3 linked regions of the Diceros bicornis minor genome follow. The protein of the gene in region 2 purifies or fractionates together with the protein of the main gene of each other region. This does not show direct contact. Links are inferred from orthologs where the notes say so. Each region holds a gene or a part of one and is shown on either strand. Other genes may lie near its edges. The genes, in order: CEP78, CEP43 and PPP2R3C.

Evidence for each region.
Region 1: the proteins of CEP43 (region 2) and CEP78 purify together in Homo sapiens (affinity purification with mass spectrometry; 3 studies listed by BioGRID and IntAct, with this or other methods). This does not show direct contact. The link is inferred for Diceros bicornis minor from reciprocal best matches to the Homo sapiens genes CEP43 and CEP78.
Region 3: the proteins of CEP43 (region 2) and PPP2R3C purify together in Homo sapiens (affinity purification with mass spectrometry; 3 studies listed by BioGRID and IntAct, counting the BioPlex papers as one, with this or other methods). This does not show direct contact. The link is inferred for Diceros bicornis minor from reciprocal best matches to the Homo sapiens genes CEP43 and PPP2R3C.

The regions. Positions count from the first base shown.
Region 1 is NC_080761.1:15,983,329-15,991,358, reverse strand, and holds the start of CEP78 (centrosomal protein of 78 kDa), read left to right. Parts: upstream 1-5,011; 5' UTR 5,012-5,179; coding exon 5,180-5,432; intron 5,433-8,030. UniProt on the Homo sapiens protein: Centriole wall protein that localizes to mature centrioles and regulates centriole and cilia biogenesis. Involved in centrosome duplication: required for efficient PLK4 centrosomal localization and PLK4-induced overduplication of centrioles.
Region 2 is NC_080778.1:4,361,983-4,369,084, forward strand, and holds the start of CEP43 (centrosomal protein 43), read right to left. Parts: upstream 3,038-7,102; 5' UTR 3,002-3,037; coding exon 2,900-3,001; intron 2,093-2,899; coding exon 2,039-2,092; intron 1-2,038. UniProt on the Homo sapiens protein: Required for anchoring microtubules to the centrosomes. Required for ciliation.
Region 3 is NC_080744.1:14,270,346-14,277,842, reverse strand, and holds the start of PPP2R3C (serine/threonine-protein phosphatase 2A regulatory subunit B'' subunit gamma), read right to left. Parts: upstream 3,102-7,497; 5' UTR 3,008-3,101; coding exon 2,950-3,007; intron 1-2,949. Other genes in the region: PRORP (mitochondrial ribonuclease P catalytic subunit), read left to right, coding at 4,245-5,233, 6,822-6,869, 7,348-7,480. UniProt on the Homo sapiens protein: May regulate MCM3AP phosphorylation through phosphatase recruitment. May act as a negative regulator of ABCB1 expression and function through the dephosphorylation of ABCB1 by TFPI2/PPP2R3C complex.

The sequences.
Region 1 (8,030 bases), on a different chromosome or scaffold from region 2:
CTCAACCCATATTTTTTCCAAACACAATGCTGCCTGCAACTTTGCTAAACTGTCAGATTTTAAGTGGCAGAGTATAAATTGGGTTTGCATTTTACTGCCTGGCCCAGGAGAGGGGAAGAGACCATGACTAGGGACAATGCAGTTGCTTATCAGCAGGATGGGCCTCTAGGGGAAAATATTAGCTCTTTATTTTTAAGTAAAATTTTAAATAGAAATGTAACATACATACATGCCCATGACATTCTTCTCAGAAATAGAACAAAGAATCCTAAATTTCATATGGGGCAACAAAAGACCCCGAATAGCTAAAGCAATCCTGAGAAAAAAGAACAAGGCAGGAAGCATCACAATCCCTGACTTCAAAATATACTACAAAGCTATAATAATTAAAACAGCATGGTACTAGTACAAAAACAGACCCACAGATCAATGGAACAGAATTGAAAGCCCAGAAATAAAACCACATATCTATGGACACCTAATCTTTGACAAAGGAGCTAAGACCATACAATAGAGAAAGGAAAGCTTCTTCAATAAATGGTGCTGGGAAAACTGGACAGCTACTTGCAAAAGAATGAAAGTGGACCATCTGCTTTCACCATACACAAAAATTAACTCAAAATGGATCAAAGACCTGAAGGCGAGACCTGAAAATAAAAAACTCCTGGAAGAAAATATAGGCAGTACACTATTCTTCATTGGTCATAAAGGGATCTTTTCAAATTCCATGTCTACTCGGACAAGGGAAATGAAAGAAAAAATAAACAAGCAGGACTTCATCAGATTAAAGAGCTTCTACAAGGCAAATGAAACCAGGATCAAAATGACTAGGTAACCCACTAGCTGGGAAAAAATATTTGCAAACCATGTATCCAACAAGGGGTTCATGTCCATAATATATAAAGAACTCACACAACTGAACAACAAAAAAACAACTCAATCAAAAAATGGGCAGAGGAAATGAACAGACACTTCTCCAAATAAGATATACAGATGGCCAATAGGCACATGAAAAGATGCTCAACATCACTAATCATCAGGGAAATGCAAATTAAACCCACACTAAGATATCATCTTACACCCGTAAGATGGCTATAATGACCAAGACAAAAACAACAAATGCTGGAGAGGCTGTGGAGAAACAGGAACCCTAATTCACTGCTGGTGGGAATGCAAACAGGCGCAGCCTCTATGGAAAACAGTATGGAGATCCCTCAAAAAATTAAAAATAGAAATACCTTATGATCCAGCTATCCCACTACTAGGTATCTACCCAATGAACCTGAAATCAACAATCCAAAGAGGCTTATGCACCCCTATGTTTACTGCAGCATTATTCACTATAGCCAAGAAGTGGAAGCAACCCAAGCGTCCCTCGACTGATGATTGGATAAAGAAGATGTGGTGTATATATATATAATGGAATACTACTCAGCCATAAAAAAAGACAAAATCGTCCCATTTCCAACAACATAGATGGACCTGGAGAGTACTACGTTAAGCGAAATAAGCCAGACAGAGAAAGACAAACACCACATGATTTCACTCATAAATGGAAGATAAGCTAACACACGGACAGAGAGAACTGTTTGGTGGTTACCAGGGGCAGGGGGGTGGGAGGTGGGCACAAGGGGTGAAGGGATGCATTTATAAGTGACTGACAAACAATAATGTACAATAAAAATTTCACAATAAAGAAAAAAAAGAGTGGAGGGGGTTTGGAGGAGCCATTGTCAATAGCCATAAGGAAGGGCATGGAAAAAAGAAATGGGGACCATATGTCAGTTAAAATAAGACAGCCCATGTTGTTGACATAGCTCTGTGACTGGATCCAACAAACTCGTTGCTCTGAAAGCAGGTCCAGAGAACATGAATGTTAGAGATGTGCAGATGGCATTAGCATTGAGGTTCCATGGAAAGGTAAGTTCGCCTGGAAGTCTGGGTATAATGTTGTCAGGATGGGCTGGGAGTAGAGTACAGTGAATAAAAGGTCAAGTGATACCACTTAACCGTATTCTAGTCAAACATCCACTCACCAGACCCCTGAAGGAGGAGAGCCCATCTCTTGTACTGCCCAGTAGGCATGTCCCTCCCAAGTCATGTATCTGCGGGGAAGCTAAGGCATTTTGTCTTGGGCCAGGCACGAACCTGGCTTATCAGAGGATCCTAGGGGTGCTGTGGGGAGGCAGCTTTTGCTCACCATGTTCAGGGAAGCATGTGGGTAGAGCCCACAAGATGCTGAAAGCAGAACTGAAGCCATAGGAGCCAAAAGGAGAACTATTAAGCCATAATTAAATGGAAGTAGAGAAAAGATTCTCAGGCAAGCCTTGAAAGAAATCTTGCCAGACAGAAAATAAGTAAGCTTGGGGGAAATAAATTTTAAGTTAATATGTTAAGTGATGAATTAATATGATGAAGGCTTCCTTGAGCTGCATCCGTAGGTAGCAGCCACAAGGTGCTGGTGACGACTGGTGCTATAGGGAGAACAGAGGAGAATGTTCCCATAGTCATTATTCAGCACTTCCTATGTACCAACATTGTGCTAGGCATAGGGAATATAAGCATGAATGAGATACGGTCCCTGCCTTCAAAGGGCTTACAGTCTATGGAAAGAAAACCATCTAAAAAGATGCTTGTCATTGGATATACTAAGTGTTATGACAAGGGGATGTCAGGGAGCAGAGCAGTGAGGTACTAAACAAGCAGGGGAGGAGAGGTGAGGGTTAGGGAAAGAAGGCCTCCCAGGGAAGGGGGCCCCCAACCTGAAGTTGGGAAACAAGCGCAAGTTAGTCCACTAAAGAGGGAGTGGAGGAGGAGGGTCCTAAGTAAAGGAGCAGCATCTGTAAAGGCCCAGGCAGGAATGATAAAACATCAGAAACTTCAAGTAGTTCCACGTGTCTAAAGAAGACATTCAGGGAGGAATGTAGCAAGGAATAAGACAACACAGGTAGTCAAATCATGAAGGAGCCTCTATGGCAAGCTAAGGAATACAGACCTGATGCTGGGGCCAGTGAGAAATCTTTGGCTTTCCAGGAGGCAGTCTGACGTATGGAGAGAGATATCTTTGTTAGAAGTCATCAGCCTGGAAGGGGAAGTTAAGCCTGAGCAGGAGACAAGATTACCCAGAGAAACTGGGAAAGGTCAGAAGGGGTGGACGCTGAGGATGGGAACCTGAAAAACACCAACATTTAGAATAGGTAAGCAAGAGACACCCAAGAGCAAGACAGAGAAGAAGAAACTAGAGAAGTATAAAAAAGTCAGGTGGCTTCAAGGAAAACAGGGAAGAGGGAACGTTAAGAAGACAATGGACAACTACAGTAAGTGATGCTGGAGACTAAAAATGGATATAGCAACAAAGAAATCATACTGAAAATTGGAAACATTAAATTTCCATCAACAGGAAAATAGACAAATTATTGCATTTTCCTACATAGGAATGCTATACGGCAAGGAAAGTACATAAACTAGAGATAACACTACATAAAGCAAGTAGCAGAAGAAAACATAGAATGTTATATGCTGTTTAAGAATACTTACAAACGTAGCAGAAATATAAAGACATATATTGCAATGATGAATACCTTCAGAAGAGCGGTTATCCAGGGTTGTTAGAGAGTGGTTGTGACTGGGAGAGTGGTTACATGGGGCTCTTCAACAGGAATGGTGATGTTTCATTTCATAAGCTAGTTGGAGGATAGAGGAGGGTCTGCTATATTACAATTTGAGCGTGTTGCATGGAAAAGTCATGACTGACCACATCTAGGGAATTTTAGTGGAGGAGGTGTGTGTTGGTAGTGGGTGGAAGAGGAATGCCATAAACATAATGCCTAAGGCCAGACTGGAGGACTTCTATTGTTCCAGAAACCGGATTCAAATACAGGTTCTGAGGCCAATATTAAAAGATAAACTGAGGCACATCAAAAATTTTAAGAGTTTATTTGAGCAAAAATGGATTCAAATCGAGCAAGACCACACTAGAAGTGGTTAGGAGTGCTTCCACCGACAGCAGCTGGGGAGAGACGTGCATAGGAAAAGGAGGATGCAAAGCAAGGAAGTTATTGATCGGCTATACCCTATAGTTGGCTGTTTGTGATGGGCTGTCCTTAGCTTTTCCATTTCCTAACCCTGAGGCATTTACAGCCTTAGATTTTGGTTTGCTTATGTAGACTGCCAGAGCTTTAGAGCCACATCAGTCCAATGGCTTCCTTGTTTAATTAATTTAACACCAATTGTCTGAGTTCTTCCACTTCCTTAGCCGTAAGTTACTTAAATTCCCGTGACTCAGTTTCTCTTTTGTAAAGTGGATATACAATAGTATATTCTTTGTGGAGATTTTAGGAAAATTAAACGATTTCATACTGAAACAGTGCTTAAAATAATGCCTAGGAGACAGAAAGTACAAGTTACTAGAGACTTAACCATCATCATCATGAGTACAAAACAAAGTGATTATTAGTAATCACATTAATAATGTCCTGAACTCATGGAACACTTTACAGTTTGCCAACAACCATGGGAGGCAAGTAGAAACTACAGAAATTAAGAGTTCTTTGTACAACTAGCACAGACGTGAAAGAGTTATGGACGACAGTGGACATCTGAGTGGGTGTCGTTCGTACATCCCTTGTTGAGTGTACCCTCCTGGGCGGTGCGTGAATAGACACTCTACAGTTTAGGTCACTTTTTAAAATGCGTCGCTACATCCATAGCTCACTTTTATTGAACCAATCAGTAAACCTTTTTCGGAAACCCCAAATGCCGAGAAACACCTACCTTCTGCACCTCCGCGCCCCGAAGCTCCCGCCTCGCTTCCTCAAGGCCTGTCTCCGCAGGAGGCGGGGCCTGCGTGCTGACGCACGCCGAGCGCGCTGACGTCTTTGCGCACCGCCCCCGCGGGCACCCGCCCTCCGGCTTGAACCGCAGCCCCGCGCCGCGGAGGGCGCTGAGGCGGGCGCCAACGGCCGGCGCCGCGGGGCGGGAGGCGGCGCGGGAGCGCGGCGTCAAGGGGCCGGCGTAGCTGGGGCCCGGGGCCCTGCGTCTTCTGGCCGAGCCGCCGCTGCTGCGCTCGCTGCGGGGCCGCAGCCGCCGGCCCTGGGCGCCGGAGAGGCCGGGCGGCGACCGGGGGCTCCCAGGCGGGCGTTGTCTCCGCCGCCGGCGTCCCCCGAGGCCGCCCCTGGCCATGATCGACTCGGTGAAGCTGCGCCGCGACTGCGCGGCCGACTTCTTCTCGCACTACGAGTACCTGTGCGCGCTGCAGGACTCGGTGCCGCTGCCGGCCGTGCGCGCCTGCCTGCGCGAGGGCGTGCTGGACTTCAACGCCGACCGCCTCCGCGTGGTGGACTGGGCGCCGCTGCTGAGCACCCTGAGGATCAACAAAGATCTGCCGCTGGTCTCCGTCAGGAGCTTCTTCCAGCCGTGGCTGGGCGAAACAGGTTTGTAGTTCCCGCTCCCAGTGGCCCCATGGCTGTGCCGCAGAGCGGGATTTTAGACGGTGCCAGGTGGAGCCTGGGCGCCGGGGCGGGTGCCCAGTGCCGGGGTATGTGTGCGGTAGACAGGGCGTGCGCCCCGGGGCCCTTACCAGCTCGGTGACCCTGGGCGACTCCCCTAAGGGCTCCGGGTCTCTGTTCTCATCCGTAACACGGGCTTAACGGGACCCACTCCGTATGGTGACTGCAAGGATTCGCCGGGTTCGTGCTTGTACAGCACTTAGCACAGTTTGGGACATTGTTAAGCGTTAGAGAGATGTTAACTCGTTTAATGAATGACTTTGCTTGATACAGAACAAAGAGATTAGGAAGTTGATGCATCCCAGCCTTTTGCTTCATTTCGTTTTAAGACAAGACTCTCTCTGATAGGGAAAAAATTTTTTTTGAATGGTAGCATCATATAGTGACAAGAGCACAGATGTGAAGGCAGCCTACGGTTTGAATTCCAGGGCTTACATTCTGTGTGGCCCGGGCAGGTTACTCTTGAACTACGATACCCACACGTAAAATGGCATTAAAACCCGCTCTGCCAGTGGGTTCTTAGAATTAAGCAGGTTATGTGTGTAAAGGATCCTGGCACTTGAATGAGCTCAGTCAGCACCAAGCACTGCTGGAGACAGGCTCCTGCCCTAAAGGATCGCCCCTTCTGGTCGGGGAGGCAGCACGGCAGTCTGCAAGAAGTGAGCTCCGGTGCTGCGGAGCACAAAATATTGGAAGGGAAGGTGCAGGGAAGGCTTTTTGGAGGAGGTGTCCTCCTTTCTAAGGATATTTTCAAGGTACTCAGATGGCAGGAGGGAGCAGCTTGTGTCCAAGTTTGAGACGTGTAAGAAAATACAGGAAGGGGCCGGCCCGGTGGCCCAGCGGTTAAGTGCGTGCTCCGCTTCGGCAGCGGCCCGGGGTTCGCAGGTTTGGATCCCGGGCGCACACCGACGCACCGATTCTCAAGCCATGTTGTGACGGCATCCCATATGAAGTAGAGGGAGATGGGCACGAATGTTAGCCCAGGGCCAGTCTTCCTCAGTAAAAAGAGGAGGATTGGCAACAGATGTTAGCTCAGGGCCGATCTTCCTCACATAAAAGAAAATACAGGAAAACTAAGGTGCAGGACTAGAACTTACGGTTTGAGAAAGAAGGGAGAGTTGAGACTGAAAACTTGATGGGGGCCAAACAGAGAGGAGCCTTGTTTGTCCTGTTAAAAGGTTGGCTGTTAATCCTGAAGGCTGTGGGAAACACGGAGGATGATGAGCTGGGCTTTTGATTTAGAAACTCGCTCTGACCTCCGTTTGGAAGGCAGTTGGTTGGGAAGAGGGTGAATTGTAATCTGAGGGCCCAAATTAAGGTATAGAAAGGGAGGACTGGATTTCAGAGATCAAAGAGACAGAATGGATGGGGCCTGCTGACCAGTTAGCTGAGGGAGGGCTGCATCTGGGGGACAGTCTGCAGCAACACCTTTCTGTGAGATGCCGAGCACAGTAGGCAGAGATTGGGAGTGGGGAGAGGATCTTACTTCGTCTTTAATGCTTTAAGAGGGGCCTGTGGGGCATCCATGAATGTTTGCTAGACAGGTCTGGGCCCAAGTTAGAGATCTGGGCTTTATGGGAGGGCAAAAGTTTGAAGGCTGACGTTACCCACGAAGAAGATCCAGAAAATCATAGGTCTGAAAGATGTTTTTTAGAGGGACACACTTGAGTATGTTTATAAGCTGAGAGAAAGTAGCTAGCAGAGAGGGAGGGTGTGAAGATCTAGGAGAAGAAATGACTATTGATTTATTTTAAAAAACCTAAACATTTGTCATATACCTGGCTCTTTTCTAGGCTCTGGGGTTCGCACCATCTGTTATCTCTTAGGCAAGGACAGTTTAACTCATCCACTGGTGAAAAAAAATCAGGTTATTCTCTGCATCTCATTCAGGTGTAGGAGCTGTTCTGCACCTCTGAAGGGACTTGACTTAAAGTAATAACTTAGGAATCAAAAGAAGTTATAGTTGGAAAGGACCTTGGAGTCAAGGGCACTGTAGTAAATCTTGCCTAATATTTTACATTGAACGTAAGAAAAATGTACTAGACCATTCTCTTCAGAGTTCCTTCACTGAACCTTCTTTATCTTTTGCATCCAGTGGGTCTAGGTTGTAGATTTTAACCTCCTAGATTTGCTTCTTCACCCTTAATTAAGTTTTGCCTGGACTATTGCAGAAGCTTCTAGCTGGTTTTGCTGCCCCTGAGCTCAGTGTCTCTCACTTATCTGCCTACTCGGCTTGAGTGAGCTTCGAAAATGAAAAGATATGCTTAAAATAATGCTTATAATGGCTCGCCCGCACAGGATTAGTGCCTGCTGGTTTGTGTGTTTGTGTTCTGCACAGAGGCGTGCAATCTGAGCTGTGCTCTGCCAAGCCTCATGGGGCTAGTTGGCCCTGAGGAAGGGGTGCTTTTTCTTGTCTATCTGAAGTAGGTGCCTTTTTCTTTCCTTTTTTTTTTTTAAACTTTTATTTATTTATTTTTTCCCCCAAAGCCCCAGTAGATAGTTGTATGTCATAGCTGCACATCC
Region 2 (7,102 bases):
GAAGGGGAGACTGGAGAAAAGGAAACGGTAAAGTAATCTGGAAAAGAGATAACTAAGTGTAGGCAAAGTGGGCAGCTGTACATTTCAGATACAGAACTGACAGACACAGAAGCAGGCGACCTACTGGACACGCGGAGAAAAGAGCAAGGTCTAGGGGCTCTCTCAGGTTTCCTGCTTGGATAAATTATGGTCCCTGTAAAGAAGAGCAGTCTAGGAGGCAGTGTACCGTACAGGTCTGAAGCTCCAGACGGAGATATGGACCAGAGACAGAGGGCTGAAGTTAGTTACTGGTGTGGTTGAGGTCATCCAGGGAGAGAACACAGAATTTGAACTACGGGAAAATGCACCAATGATTTAAGTGAGGTGTTTAGGAAAAAGATCACGCTAAAGAATCCAAGGACTGATCAAAAGGAAAAAAGAAAACAGAAAGAAAAGGGTCCCAAAAGTCAAGGGAGATTTTCAAGAAGGAAGGAGGAATTGAGAATGTCAAATGCCACAAAGAGCAACTAAGATGGGTAAGAACTAAAATAGACTCAATCAGGAGATTCTTCTTGACCGCAGCAAGAGAAATTACTTTGGTGTAGTAGAGTTGGATTTAAGACGTTAATGGATTAAAGGGTGCCTAGAACATAAGAAATGGTATAAGACATACACATTCTTTCAAACCTAGGCCATGAGGGAAAAAAATAGAGAGGTATTAAAAGCAGAACAAGAGTCAAGGGAACAGCTTTCTCCTTGAGAGAGCTGTAAACATGTTTCCATCCTCAAGAGAAGAGCCAAAAGAAAGAAGGAGGCCAAAGATACAGCAAGTCGCTGAGGGGCTGACAGTACCTGGAAGGCAAAACCCAGAGAAAGTGATGCTTCTTGGACAAGACAGAGCTTCCCCTACTAAAGCAGGAAGGAAGGAGGAAAAGTGACAAACAGATGCAGGGTAGCTTTTTCTGAGGTGAGTGACAGCCTGAGGGAGAGGACACAGCAAGTTAGGCCCTGGTGCTTCTACTTCCCCTGAAGGAACAGACAAGACCGTCTGTGGAGAGGGAAGCAAAGGGGTGAGGTACGGGCTACAGTGAAGCTGCCACAGGAGGTCCTGAGCACAGAGTAGAAAGCCAGGTCTGCTCAGGACCTCACTGAGGTCGGTGTCCACCAATTAGCAACATCAGCAATCACAGCGTTGGGTGACTTTGCTCTAGCACGCACATGCACGAACAGGGAAGGGAGTTACTTTGCTAAATTCAATGACCATTAGGATTTTTCCCAGACCAAGTATGGCTGGAAGGCGAGGTAGTTAGGGTTTTTGAGATATGGCCCATGGCATCCAGACCAGTCAGGAACAAAAGACAGCCAAGAGAAGACTAATGCCTGGAAGAGCTCCATGGAGTTAAAGAGGAGCAGGCATCTAGGTCTAAAGAAGTGAGCTGTGGCGGGGAGCGATTTGTCAGAGGGCAAGGTGAGGAGCTTGATTATGGAGTGATTCTTGTTGATGACAAGGTCCAAGACACTTACTCAGGATGGTGATGGGACTCAGCGTAGAGAGAAAAAACGAAATACGCTTGTACAGAGAAGTGGTTTGACTTTTGACAATAAGAAAGATTACATGATTTTAAAACAACTAGGTGATCAGATAATTTTGGGAAAAGTTGCATACTATATTCCCCAATGAACATTAGCATACTGAAGGTTCTGAGGGATCCTGCAAGAAAGTAAACTCACTGACAACAGAATCATTTCTGTGTGTAACTCCTATGAACTTGTGTCTCAGATCTCCCCTATGGAAAGAGATCTATGACATTTAAGATTTAGTACCAGCCTCAGAGTTACTGTGGTACCTTAACTTTCTTTAAATTATTCCAAAATTCTAAAACATACACAAGAAGAGAATAATTTTGACTCTCTCTCAACAGTAAAAAATGTAATCATTAATAGTCCAAAATTATCCCTGGCTATATGCTACTATAAACAATATTTTAGAACGGTTTTTAAGTAATTAGAAATTAAACATCAACGAATACAGTCACATTAAAATTTGTCAATTTCATACCTCTACTTTTTCTTGCTCCTCTAGCGCTAAAAACACAGCTGCTCGGAGTTCCGCCTTAAAAAAGAAGGATAAAGGAACAAAAATTATCTCAACACGATTTTCATGACAAGAAGCGAATACTTGCTAAGATAGGCACCATCCACACCACCTGAAGCCAAACGAAAGGAAAACTAGCCAGACGATAACGCAGAGAGATGTGGAAAAAGCATCCTGAAACATTCTGAAAAGAGAGTCAACTAGCTCTCCGTTCCCCAAGTCTACCACTGCTCCCCTCCATCTTCTCTCAGCACCATCACTCTTTTAGCTCTGCTCTCCCTTTCCTAATCGTGCCTACGAGCCACGACAATGTCTGAGAAGTCCACCTGGAGAAATACCTCGCCAGACACGGGCAACCCAGCTGGTTACAGCGAGCTGGGCGGGGGGGGGGGGGGGGGGGGCGTGGGCGACTGGGTCCCCCGGACGTAGGGCGGGGTCGGGGGACAGCCGGCGACTCGACCCCCGGACGAGGGGGGACTCAGGGGGGCAGCGGGCGACTCGACCCCCGAACGAGGGGGGACTCAGGGGGGCAGCGGGCGACTGGAGCCCCGGACGCGGGGTGGGGGCCCGGGGAGCCGGTGGTCTGGCCTCCTCGGACGAAGAGTCCAGGCCGGGGCGCCTCTCCCGCACGCCGCCGCGCGGCCGGAGCTTCCCGGGAGTGACCCTCGACCCCCGCGCGGTCCGCCTGGAGGTGGCCCGCCCCCCGCCCGGGATGCCAGCCCGACGCTCCCTGCGTCCCTTTGTGACGCCCGCCGTCCGCACAGGCCCTGCGGCACGGACGCCGCCGGCCTCCCCTCGTCACGCCTGGCCCGGCCCCCGCCCCACCTTGATGCGGTTCAGGACCCCGCTGTTCTCCAGCGTCTGCACCAGCAGGTCCCGCAGCTCCGTGTCCTCCTCTGCCACCACCGCGGCCGCCGTCGCCGCCATCTTGCTTCTCCAAGACAACCGCCCAAGCCGCGCCAACGGCCAACCGCCGCCGCAGACTCCGCACGGCGCGCGCCGGCGCGGCCGAAGCCACGCCCCCGGTGCCAGCGCGCAGCCCTTCCTCACGCCGGGGGCGGGGGGGCCGGGGGCGGGGCCTAGGGGGCGCCGTGAGATGGGCGGGGTGCGGGGGGGGGGGGGCGATGTGGAGGGGCGGGGCCTCGGGGAGACGAGAGATGGGCGGGGCGCGGGGCAATAAGAAAGGGCGGGGCGGGGCCTCGGGGAGACGAGAGATGGGCGGGGCGCGGGGCAATAAGAAAGGGCGGGGCGGGGCCTCAGGGTCTCGGGAGGCGGGAACATTGCAGGCGACGGTGGAAGAGGGGGGCGGCGCGGGGAAGGGCGGGGAGGGGAGACTGGGGTAGCAGAGGCGTTTGAAATGTTCCTGGTGTGCGCCTGCAGGTTGTCTGTGTAGACACGGGTGCTGGAAGCCGGGGGAAATTCCTGATGTCTGCCACTTGCTCTCCAAGGTGCGGCCGAAATGTGTGTGCATACATGAACGTGTGTGCGTGTGTGCATGCAGTCACCGGGAGAGCATGTACGTGCATGCGTGTATGTGCACCCGCTCTCCGAGAGAGAGCACGTCTACACTGTGCGGTACAGTGGAGCATTTATGGACGCTCAATATACTGTTGTACTGTTCTTTACACCCTGTGTGTTTGCATAGTTTTGGAATAACATGTTGAGAAAAGTGAGGAAATTCAAAACTACGTACTAGGAAGCTTGTAAGAAAAAAGTGCAGATTCTAGACCTCCACCCCAGGGGTCCTCACGCGGTCTGCAGTAGGTTTTAGGAATCATTTTCACAAGTAGGCCAGGTGATTCTAAAGCAGGTGGTCTGCAGATTATTATCTGAGACACAAAGGGAATATGTCAAATGAGAAGTAGAAGTCGAGGTGTTCTGCCGAGGCCAACTTTTCTCCCTGCTGGCAGCGTCTGTTAAAATTGGTACGGTATATATCTTTCCAGACAACTTTGTACATCGACACGTTACTACACACGTGTACTTTTTCCCCTTCCGTAATTTGGGTCCTGTGCTTACTGTCTTTTAATTTACTAATTTCGTTTAATAAATCCTGACCATCTTTTGATGTATGTAGGTATAGACTCTGCCTCATTCTTTTTAACTCCTGCATAGTGCTCTGTTTAAGGGTGTTCCAAAAATTATTTTTTGTTATTAGACTACAGTATGTTTGCATTTGTTTTGTTTGTTGTGGAAGTAATTCATACCAATGGTTAAAAATCCAAACAAGAGGAAAACATTAAATGAAAAGTAAAAGTCTCTGCATCTTTCCTACTCACCTATCCATCACCTGGTACATATTCTAGACCCAACAACAATTATGTTTGTTTTAGTTCTTCTCATTCTTTTCGTTATAACTCTAAATAATATACATCTTGACTCCTCAACCATAAACAGCAGCTTTTCAAAGGATAAAAATGTATCTTCTCTTCCAACTCCTAATTTTAAAAATTACATTACTTTTAGTTCTGCTGGTGGAAGATTTCGTGACTTTAAATTGTTTACCTAAATCATTATTTATAAATTTTACACATTGCCTATTGGCTCCCTAATATGGGAGATGAGGAAATTCATGTATTTATACTCTCTCTCACCTTTCCACCTCTACTGCTCCTAATGTTCTGAGTTAGAGTTTTATTTTTATGCTATCAAGAATTTGCATTCTTCTCTTAATTATAATTATATTTTCAAACCTTGTCTGTAGGTCAATTGAAAAACAAGCCACAGCATCCACCCTATTAGGGGTATAATAGGTCTGTTAGACAGAGCCCCTATGCCCTTGAACTGAAGATTTTTCTGCATACTCCAACTGCCCCCACCTGAGATGATTTGCCTGCTGACTTTTTCTGGTCACCAGACCCTGCTCTGCCTGCATTTGGGGAAGGCCTGAAGTGCCAGGGAATACATACCTCCTGAGAGTGCCTGCAAGTGCTGGCAGAGAGTAGATAAGGACCCCCAACTCCCTCACCCCCAGGGGGGCAGAAAGGTACCTCTAAGGTGCCTTCTACACTGGCTCCCGGTGTTTCTTGTTTGAGCTCCAGTTAAACAGAAACCTGCTTAATAGCACGGCTCTTATGAGTTTACTTCCCTGCCTTGTCCCATTTCCCACTCCCCTACTGCTGTGTCCCGGGATTCTCTCCCAAATAAACTGTTTGCACTCAAATCCTTATCTCAGGCTTCTGGGGCACTCAGACTAAGACAGTTACCCCAGATTTGGTCATGTGAAGCCCATCCTAGGAATGGGGTTCTGGAATTGGATCACTCACTAGCCAGATAGCAACAAGGACACACTGTTGGTGGTAAGTGGGGCAGTGGTACCCCTGGAATGGTGCAGCAGCTTTGCTGTTATGACTAAGTGAGAGGGGACACCATGGAAGGGGGGCACAGGCTGGTGCAATCTCTCTAGCACTTGGGGATATGGGGGCGATGGTAATTTTAAAGACTGTGGAGTCAGATTTTTTTAAAAATGATATCAAAATGCTGAAGCAAGAATATGACAGCCAGGTATCAACCTACGGCACTGTGTAAAAGCCGTTTTTGTGAGCCAGAAAATCCCATGATATCACATTGGTAGCTTGAAATTCACTGTGGTAGGAAACACCATGGAGATTGGCAAATACTATGAATTGGGGCTTTTCCTTTTCACAGAGAGCCAGTTATTAAACATTTACTAGCTGTTATGAGAGGTTTGGGGATTCGATCGGAGATGTAAAAGACACTTTCCACTCCAAACAAATGGACTGAAGGTATATTTTATTATATAGAGTATAGTAAAGGCGATAGTCCGCAAACAGATCCAAATAGGTCAAATAATAAGAGGGAAAAAACACCAGCTCGACTGGAAAGGGAAAATATCCACATCGGCTGAGATAGCAGCAGATCCGAATAGGTCATATAATAAGAGGGAAAAACATCAGATCGATCGGAAAGGGAAACACCAGGTCGACTGAAGGGAAATGACACAAATCAACCGGAAAGAGAAACACCAGGTTGACTGAAAAGAGAACACATCAAATCAGTTACTTTATAGTAAATCAATTACTTATATCAAATCAGTTACTCACAATATCCACGCCCCACTGCCGGGAGAGCCCTGTCAATCGACGCGGCTGGGCAAGAATCACACGTCCTGGGCAAGGTGTCCCTTCCACAGGTGGAACTCTCACCGGGTCTCAGTCTCCAGCAGTTTATATAAGCAGTTACAGAGTTTACAGAGCAAGCATCCAGTGTTTCCATGCACACATGGTTATCAGTGGCGTACGTGCACTGAGCCCCTTGGCTAACGTCCCAGCCCAGTAGTTGTGTACGTGCATTGTTTTCTTTGGTTATCTTCTTAGCCCAGGACAGATGGCCAGTCCATCCCGTGCTACGACGCTCCAAGAGCCTTGAACTGTTACAACTTGCAACTCCCTCCGTGGGAGAAAGGCCAGTTCCCGGGAAAAGGCCAGTTCCCACCACACAGAAAGCAGCTTTGTATTTCTTTGTGTGCTGGTGGCTATAGGTCAATGGAGCCGCCAAACATGGCTGTACTCATGTCAAGACACTAGCACACCATGGCATTCAGCAGGCTTCCTGAATCTGAGGATTTATACTGTTTAATTCTCAAAGTTTCTAGACCTTTCTAAGCCTCAGTCCCCTCAGGTGTGAAGTACTAACCTACCTAAGAGTTTTGTAATATAAAATAAGATAGTTTGTTGGAAATCACACCTATTTCCTGAGATCAGGAAAGGAAAGATTCATTAAGAAGTTGGTTTTTGAGGAGGGCCTTGAGAAGAATAACTAAATCAGAACAAGGTGAGAGAAGGAAGGTCATTCCAAACATCAAGGACAATGTGAGTAAGAGATAAGGGATGGGCAGCATGGCCCGCTTGGGGGAACAGGGGATCCGATCTGTTAGAATTAGGACACACGAGAGAAAACAGAAACCAGTGGATCTGGAAAAAATGGGAGCAGACCATGGAATATATGAACTTTAGACAGGGGAGACAAGTGTTGTGGGTGGGGGAGAAAGCAGGGAGTTGAAGCCAA
Region 3 (7,497 bases), on a different chromosome or scaffold from region 2:
TGGCCATTTCTTCTTTTTTTGTTAACCCTTCTTCCTCTATCATTTCAACTTTCGTAGTTTAACTTCTAAGTCCCAAACCTATGTCAGTAACCCAGACATTGCTCTTGAACTCTAAACTCATCCATTCAAACAAAATATTTTCATCCTCATGCTGCAACATAGCTGAAATAATTCTCCCCATCCCTCACCTTACTACTCTTCTCTAATTCCATATTTCCATTTCAGTTGATGGTAGCACGATTCATCCAGTCACCCAAGCCCAAATCCCAAAAGTCATGTTCATTGTTTCATTCTTTTTCCTTCAACTATTCTAGAGATACACAAGTAAATGTGTGAGTAGCTGTGTGCATGTGTGTCCATACATACATGCAGCTTTCAACAGAGTGTCAGGGAAAGCCTCACTGAGATGAAATTAAAAAACTGAGGAAGAGGAGGAAGCACGCTATCCAGATATCCAGGGGGAAGTACATTCCAGGCAAAGGAAATAGCCAGTGCCAAGGCCCTAAGATGAGAGTGTGCCTGGTGTGTGCAGGGAAGAGGGAGGCAGCCAGTGTGACTGCAGCACAAGGAGCCATGGGGAGATTAGGGAGGGCAGACAATGGGGAGCCAGGCCACCAGGTGGTTGGAAAGACCTTGGCTTTTATTCTGGTGAGGGAGAGAGCCACCTGAAGCAATGAGGAGGCTAATGCTAATCCAGGTGACAGACGGCGGTGGCTTGGAACAGGGTGGCTGCAATGGAAGCCGTCAGGAGGAAATATACTCTGTATTTTCTTTTTAGTCCCAGGATTTGCTGACACACTGGATGTGGGTATTAGAGAACGAGAGCAGTCAAAGATAACAAAGATATAACTAAAGGTTTTGACCAGATATGGGGTTGCCAGTACCTAAGATGGGGAAAACTACAAGTGAGCAAGTTAGGAAGGAGAGCAGGAGTTCAGTTCTGGAAAAATTAAGATTAAGATATCTATCAGATCCAAGTGGCAATGTCAAGTAGGCAATTAGATATATGAATCTGGCATTTGGGAAGAGGTCCAGGATAGAGATAAAAATTTAGGAGACAATACGAATAGATAATATTTAAAGCCATATGACTGGATAACTTCACCATGAAGGTGAGTGTAGACAGAGAATAGAAGCTGACCACGGACTTAGCCTTGGGCATTTCAACGTTAAGTTGTTGGGTAGAAGAGGAAGAAAAAGCAAAGACTAAGAAGGGATGCAGGTGAGGTAGGAGGAAAACTAAGAGAGTGTGTCTCCCAGAAACCAAGAGAAGAAAGTATGCGTAGGAGGAGAGAGTGAACTACTACGTTCCTGGCAGGGACTGCTGGCAGGTCAAGTAAAATGAGGACTGAAAACTGACCACTGGAACAACATGGAGATCACTGACCATCTTGACAAACAGGAATTAGAGACGAGTACGGATTTAACCAACAATTCTTCTAACAAGTGTTGCTATAATGGGAGCAGAGAAATGAGGCATAGCTGGAGGTGGAAGTTAAGACAAGACAGTTTCTTTAAGACGGGAGAAATACCACCATATTCACATGCTGATGGGAATGACTGAGAAAGAAAAACTGATGATGCAGAAGAGAGGGGATGACTGGGGGAGCGCATCCTTGAGTAGGCAAAAACGGGATGGAATCTAGCACACTGATGAAGGAAACAGCATTAACCAGAAGTTGTGCAACTAAATGACTCATTTTGTTTATCATCTCTCCCAACACTAAAGCATGATCTACAAGGACAAAGATTTTTGTCTGTTTTGTTTACTGTTATAACCTACAACAGTACCTGACACATAACACATGCAATGGAGTGGCTTTAAGAGTGAAGGGGAGGAGAAAGCACAAGTATAGGTAACTTTTTCGAGACGTTTTCCTATAAGGGGTGCAGAGAAATGCAGCAAAAGCTGGAGGCGGATGTGAGATCAAATGATTTTTTTTTTAAGATGGGGGATATTACAGCATGTTTGTCACAGCTGATGAAAACGATCCAGTAGAGACACAAAATTTGATGATGCCTGAGAGAGAGGATAAGCCCAGAGTGAAGGCAGTGAATAAAAGAAAGGGAACACGATCTAGTGTTGGAGTGCAGAGACTGTCTCACATAGCAGCTTGGACAGTTCTTCATTTTAACCGTGAAGGCAGAGTGTATGCGCACCTATGGGGGGCTGACAATGGTAAATGGGAACACGTGACGTTCTTCTTTGATTGCTTCTACTTTCTCAAATACATATACGTACATACGTAAGTCCATCAGCTGACGGTAAGGAGTAGGAAGGACATACTGGAGGATCGGAAGTTTGGGAGATGAGAAGAACTGCCTTAGACTGTGGGAGAGTGAATGTCTAGGGAAACACGGAAGGAGTGTAAATGAATGGCTGAAAACACCTACTTTGGGTGAGTGGACGCGAATTAAAAGTGAGACAATTCACCCTGGTTCCTTTTTTCTCCAACCACTTTCAGCTGCTCCGGGTGCAGGTGTGGAATACGAAAGACAGTTTTAACTAGATTGGTTAGCAAGCAAGTGTGAAGGAGGGCGAAAGGGACAAGGAAGAATGGATTATGAAACCTAAATGTTATCCATTTTAGATGGATAAGGAGGGAAGTGAAAAGTGTGATGGTAACAAGGCGGTAGGATCAATGGACCATAGGTTCTGGAAGGACCGAAGAGTTGTTGGAGCCGGGGTTCTCAATTTTCCCTCACAGTCTGGGTCAAGACCATGTAAGTGAGAGGCTAAGGAAGCTTTTCATTCCCGCAAATCCTTTCCCCGGGAAGTGTGGGTCACACCTCCCCGGATCCCTAAACCAGTCCACTCTGCCTCCTTTGTCAGGGGCGGTTCTCGAGGAGCGGAAAGCGCCGCTCGCGTCGCTGCTCCTCCCCGCTCTCCCCCAACCTCTAGGAGTTTAGGGCCGGCCTGGCTCTGCGGGCGGCCCCTCCCAAACTCACTGTTTGGACCGGTGTCGGGCGTCGCTAGCCGCCGGCGAAGCACTTCTTTCCAGTCCATGGCTGACTCCCGCGCAGCGGGTCCTGCATTCGCTGTTTACTGCCCGCTCCACCCCCTCCCAGCTCCGACGTCACACGCCGTCCAGCCCCGCGAAGGTTAGGGAGGCCGCTCAGCCGCCATCTTGGGCACGGGCGGAAGGTGGCTAAAGAGGCAAAAACGATTCCTCTACACTGCGGAGACTACGGCGATCACACTGACAGCGGAGAAACCGACGTGAAAGAGGTGGAAAATGATCCTCCTGAAGGCGGCGTCCCAACTTCACCAAGCCCGATTTTAAAGGCGCAGGATAAGGGAGCCCGCGCTTTTATTTCTTCATCTTGGGCCTTTGGCGCTTGTGCACCACGTGACTCAGGGGTCCTCAAGCTTTTCCGGCTCGAGGGAAGAACTTTCTTCCTTCACAATTTCTTTTCATTGTTCACTGCGGATATATGGATGCCCTAAATGTCCTCTAAACTTAGTAGTCGCCTTCCGCCGCCGCCTCTACCCCCTTCTGCCACTAAAAGCTTCAGAATCGCCTTTTTCTCGCTGCCAGGCCCGGCGGAACGCCCGCGCCCTGCTCGGTCCCGCCCCCTCGCCCGGGGTCGCCGCGGTGCATTGTGGACGCGGTAGTTTCCGCTGCGTTCATGGTTGGGTTTAGCGTGAGTGCTGCGGTGAGTTGTTGAATGAAGTGGAATTGGTTTGCGTTGGGTCCGTACCCGGTAGGCGGTGCCCTTCGCGGATCTCCCTTCCTTGTCTGTGTGGTAGGCTCGCCCCCCCCCCCATTCCCCCCGTTTACGAGTTTGGCGCCTGGGGAGACTGGGATACAGGACCAGGGCCGCTATCCTTGCTGCTGTGGGTCTGGGGTCGGCGGCTCCTGGGCGCGGTTTTCCACTTTAGGCCCCTTGTTCAGCAAGGCTCCCATGAGATCTTGCCCCTTTTCGAGGACAGTTGTGATCCACGTGAGTCGAATTGGGCGGTCCTCCTTGTGCTTTCTCTTCAGGTTCACGGACTGGAATATAACAGGCACCGGAGGGTCCCTGCCGAGTCACCTGGGTCTGGGGTTTCCGACGGAGGTTAGATGTCCCATATCGTTGTTTAATGGAGAGAACTCACCAGGCTTCGTTGCTGTTTAATAGCCCCCAAAGCAGAACCTTGATTTGTGTGTGAGAGACTGAAAGTCATCTTTTAAAAAGTTGTGCTGTAAAAGTAGGGCTTGTTGAACATCTCTCTCACTACCTGGTGCTGATCTCACTGCATAATGGCTTTCTGTTTCACCGGTGTTCGAAGCTTTCCTAAGCTTTGGAAGAGCAACCCATACCTTGGGCTAGGCCCAGGACACTCTTACCTCTCTCTCTTTCTCAAAGACTATTATGGCATCAGGAACCAACAGAAGTGGATTTCTCTTAAAACAGTGTCTCCACAAAATACTAAAGCAGTGAATCTGCTCATTGCCAAGGCCAGATATCCCAGGAAAGGGGATGAGGGCAGTAAGAAGCAAGTTTCTTCTGATTCTCCTCATCTTTTTGCAGCTGGAGCGGCTAAGAAGAGATCACAGATGAATCCTCAGAGTAAAGATCATGCCTTGTCACCCGTCAGGGACACTATTCAACTTCCAACAAAACCTTTGAATTCAGAGGAGTGGGATAAACTTAAGGAAGATTTCAAAGGAAAGGCTAATTTTGAAAATTGGATCAGTTCACAAATGACTCATTGCCATAGCTCTGTAGATGTGGCCAAATCTCTGCTAGCCTGGGTAGCTGCAAAAAACAATGGTGTTATAGGCTATGATTTGCTGGTCAAGTATTTGTATCTTTGTGTCTTTCATAATCAGACATCAGAAGTTATTGACGTCTACGAAATCATGAAAGCCAGATACAAGAGTTTAGAATCTGGAGGGAACACTCTTCTCATCCGGGGATTAATCCATTCAGACAGATGGAGAGAGGCCTTGCTGCTGTTAGAGGACATCAAAAAAGTAATGGTCCCTTCAAAAAAGAACTATCATGACTGTATCCAGGGAGCCCTGCTTCATCAAGATGTGAACATAGCTTGGGATTTGTATCAGGAGTTGTTAGGCCATGGTGTTATTCCTATGTTGGAAACTTTAAAAGCCTTCTTTGATTTTGGAAAAGATGTAAAAGATGATCAGTATTCAAACAAACTACTAGACATTCTTTTGTATCTAAGAAATAATCAGCTGTATCCTGGAGAATCATTTGCACACAGTATAAAAACATGGTTTGAGAGGTAATTTTGATTTTTCTTTGTATGTATGTTTTTATTTTAATACCTATACCTAAAAGAAGCCTCCTCTTTTTTATTAGTTGCCGAGAATTACTCTACTCAGATTATACTTTTTTTCCATCTCTTAGTAAGATTTAAGACAAAATTTTCTTTCTCTTAAAAAAAAATAGTGGCATAAACAAGTTGTGCTAATCTCTTCTCATCACATAAAAGGAAAATTATAGAGCACTTGTAGATTTTATGTGTCTTTTCCTTTTAGAAGGATCATTTATTTGGTTTTCTGAGGTGTCTAGTATTATGTGAGTAGTTACCAATAGCACTGGTGGCTGGAGTTCCTAGCAAGTAAACTGGAGCTGTCTTTGGGTCATTTTAGTATTTTCAGAAGTTCTGAAACCTAGTAACTGGTATAACATGCATACATACTGGTTTAATCTATGCATTTTATCAAATTGATCGGTAGAACGGAATGGACAGGGGATCCTGATCAAACCTGATATGCAGGTATTAAAATAGAAAATCTTCCTCTTTCCTGTTCATTTGTGATCTTTCCATCATTCGACTGCTCTCTCCAAGGCTTTCTCCTTTGCTTTTAGTTATTGCCTACCTGCCTATTTATTGCTGCAGTCTTTTATTCTCTTATTTCTTCACAACTAATGTGCTTCAGGCTCTTTCCTAAAAAATAATTCCTTTTCTCTTGCTTTTCTACTATATATTATCTTTATAGAGCTTTGAAGTAGCAATCATGCTTAGTTATCTTATTTAATGAATTTATTGAATATCAACGGAGGAGCTAGATTGTGAAAATCTTTGAAGATTTTGGGTTTTATTGTGTTATCAAGAGTGCTCGTCCCACAGTGGATTTTTAGAAAGGTACTGCCAAAACAGTGCGAAAAGAAGATTGGAGAGAGATTAAGATTGGAAACAGGGAGATCTGTTTGGAGGGAACTATAGGTTTGAATGAGAGATGATGATATCTTGAATTAAGAACTAGGGAAGGAGAGAAGGCAATAGAATCAATAGGAATTGATGGTAATATGTGTAGGAGGAAAGAAGAAAAGATAAGTTGGTTGAGCAAATAAATCAGTAAGTTTTGAATGCCTCCAATTAGGCTAGGCACTGAGAATGTTTTGTGATATAGGATCTATTATGACAGCATTCATAACCTAAATGGGAATATGATACTTGACCGTTAAATAATAGTGGTGTATAACATGATAGTATAAGAGAAGAAGTTGTTCTGGGTAGGAACAATCTGTGGTAGCTTTATGGAGAGGGTTAGAGTTGAGTTTGATTTAGAGGTTACAGTACTAATAGCTGCTTTCTGTACAAGTCCTGTGAAGGTAGATTTCGAGTTGAAGATGAGGGTCGGATGACTGGAGGAGAAGCAAAGGGAAGGAGATCCAGAGTAGGGTACCATCAGCTCCTTAGTCCCATCGTGGTGTATCAACTACTCTTGTAATTTAACCATTCTTGGGAAGTATCCGGAACTTTTCAGAGCTCTTGCCTACTGTGTTTCTAAATACAATGACTATCTTTCAGTTCAGTAGGCACCTGACCTTCTGATGATTTGATTTTGCAATCTTTTTTGTAGTGTTCCTGGAGAACAATGGAAAGGACAATTCACAACAGTCCAAAAAAGGTAAAGGCCAATATTTAATTTTTAACTTGTTTGATTCAGGTTTAGTAGGTTTTGTTGCTACTGACTTAAAAATTTTTAAGAATATTCTAGAGATAGGATAATTAAGAGTTAGAGTACCCAGGGGAAAAGCCGTGTTTTGCATATGGAGAAGTTGCAGTGTTCAAAATGTTTTTTCTATAGGTGCTGTGAGCCTGGTGTGAAGCCTCAGAGATGTTTTCCCCTAGAGATTTGGGACCTAGTTGTGTTTTAGGAATGACTTTAAAAACTTGATCTGGATGCCCAGCAGTGTATTCTTAGGTTTTCTGGCACACTGATGTGTGATACTATCAAGTTTACAAAAAATCAGATGCATGTGATGATCACAAACGTATAATGCTCTTTTTAAATTACCTTTCAATTTCCTCATGTCCTAGGATTATTCATTTTAGAAAAAGTTCTTTTCTAGGACACTATTTAACACAAACAATTGTAATTACAGTGGTCAGTGTTTGGGCTGTGGAAAAACCATAGAGTCTATTCACCTGAGTCCGGAAGAGTATGAATTTCTCAAGGGAAAAATCATGAGGGATGTGATAGATGGAGGTGACCAATACAGAAAGACGACACCTCAGGTGAGTCTGAAACAGGT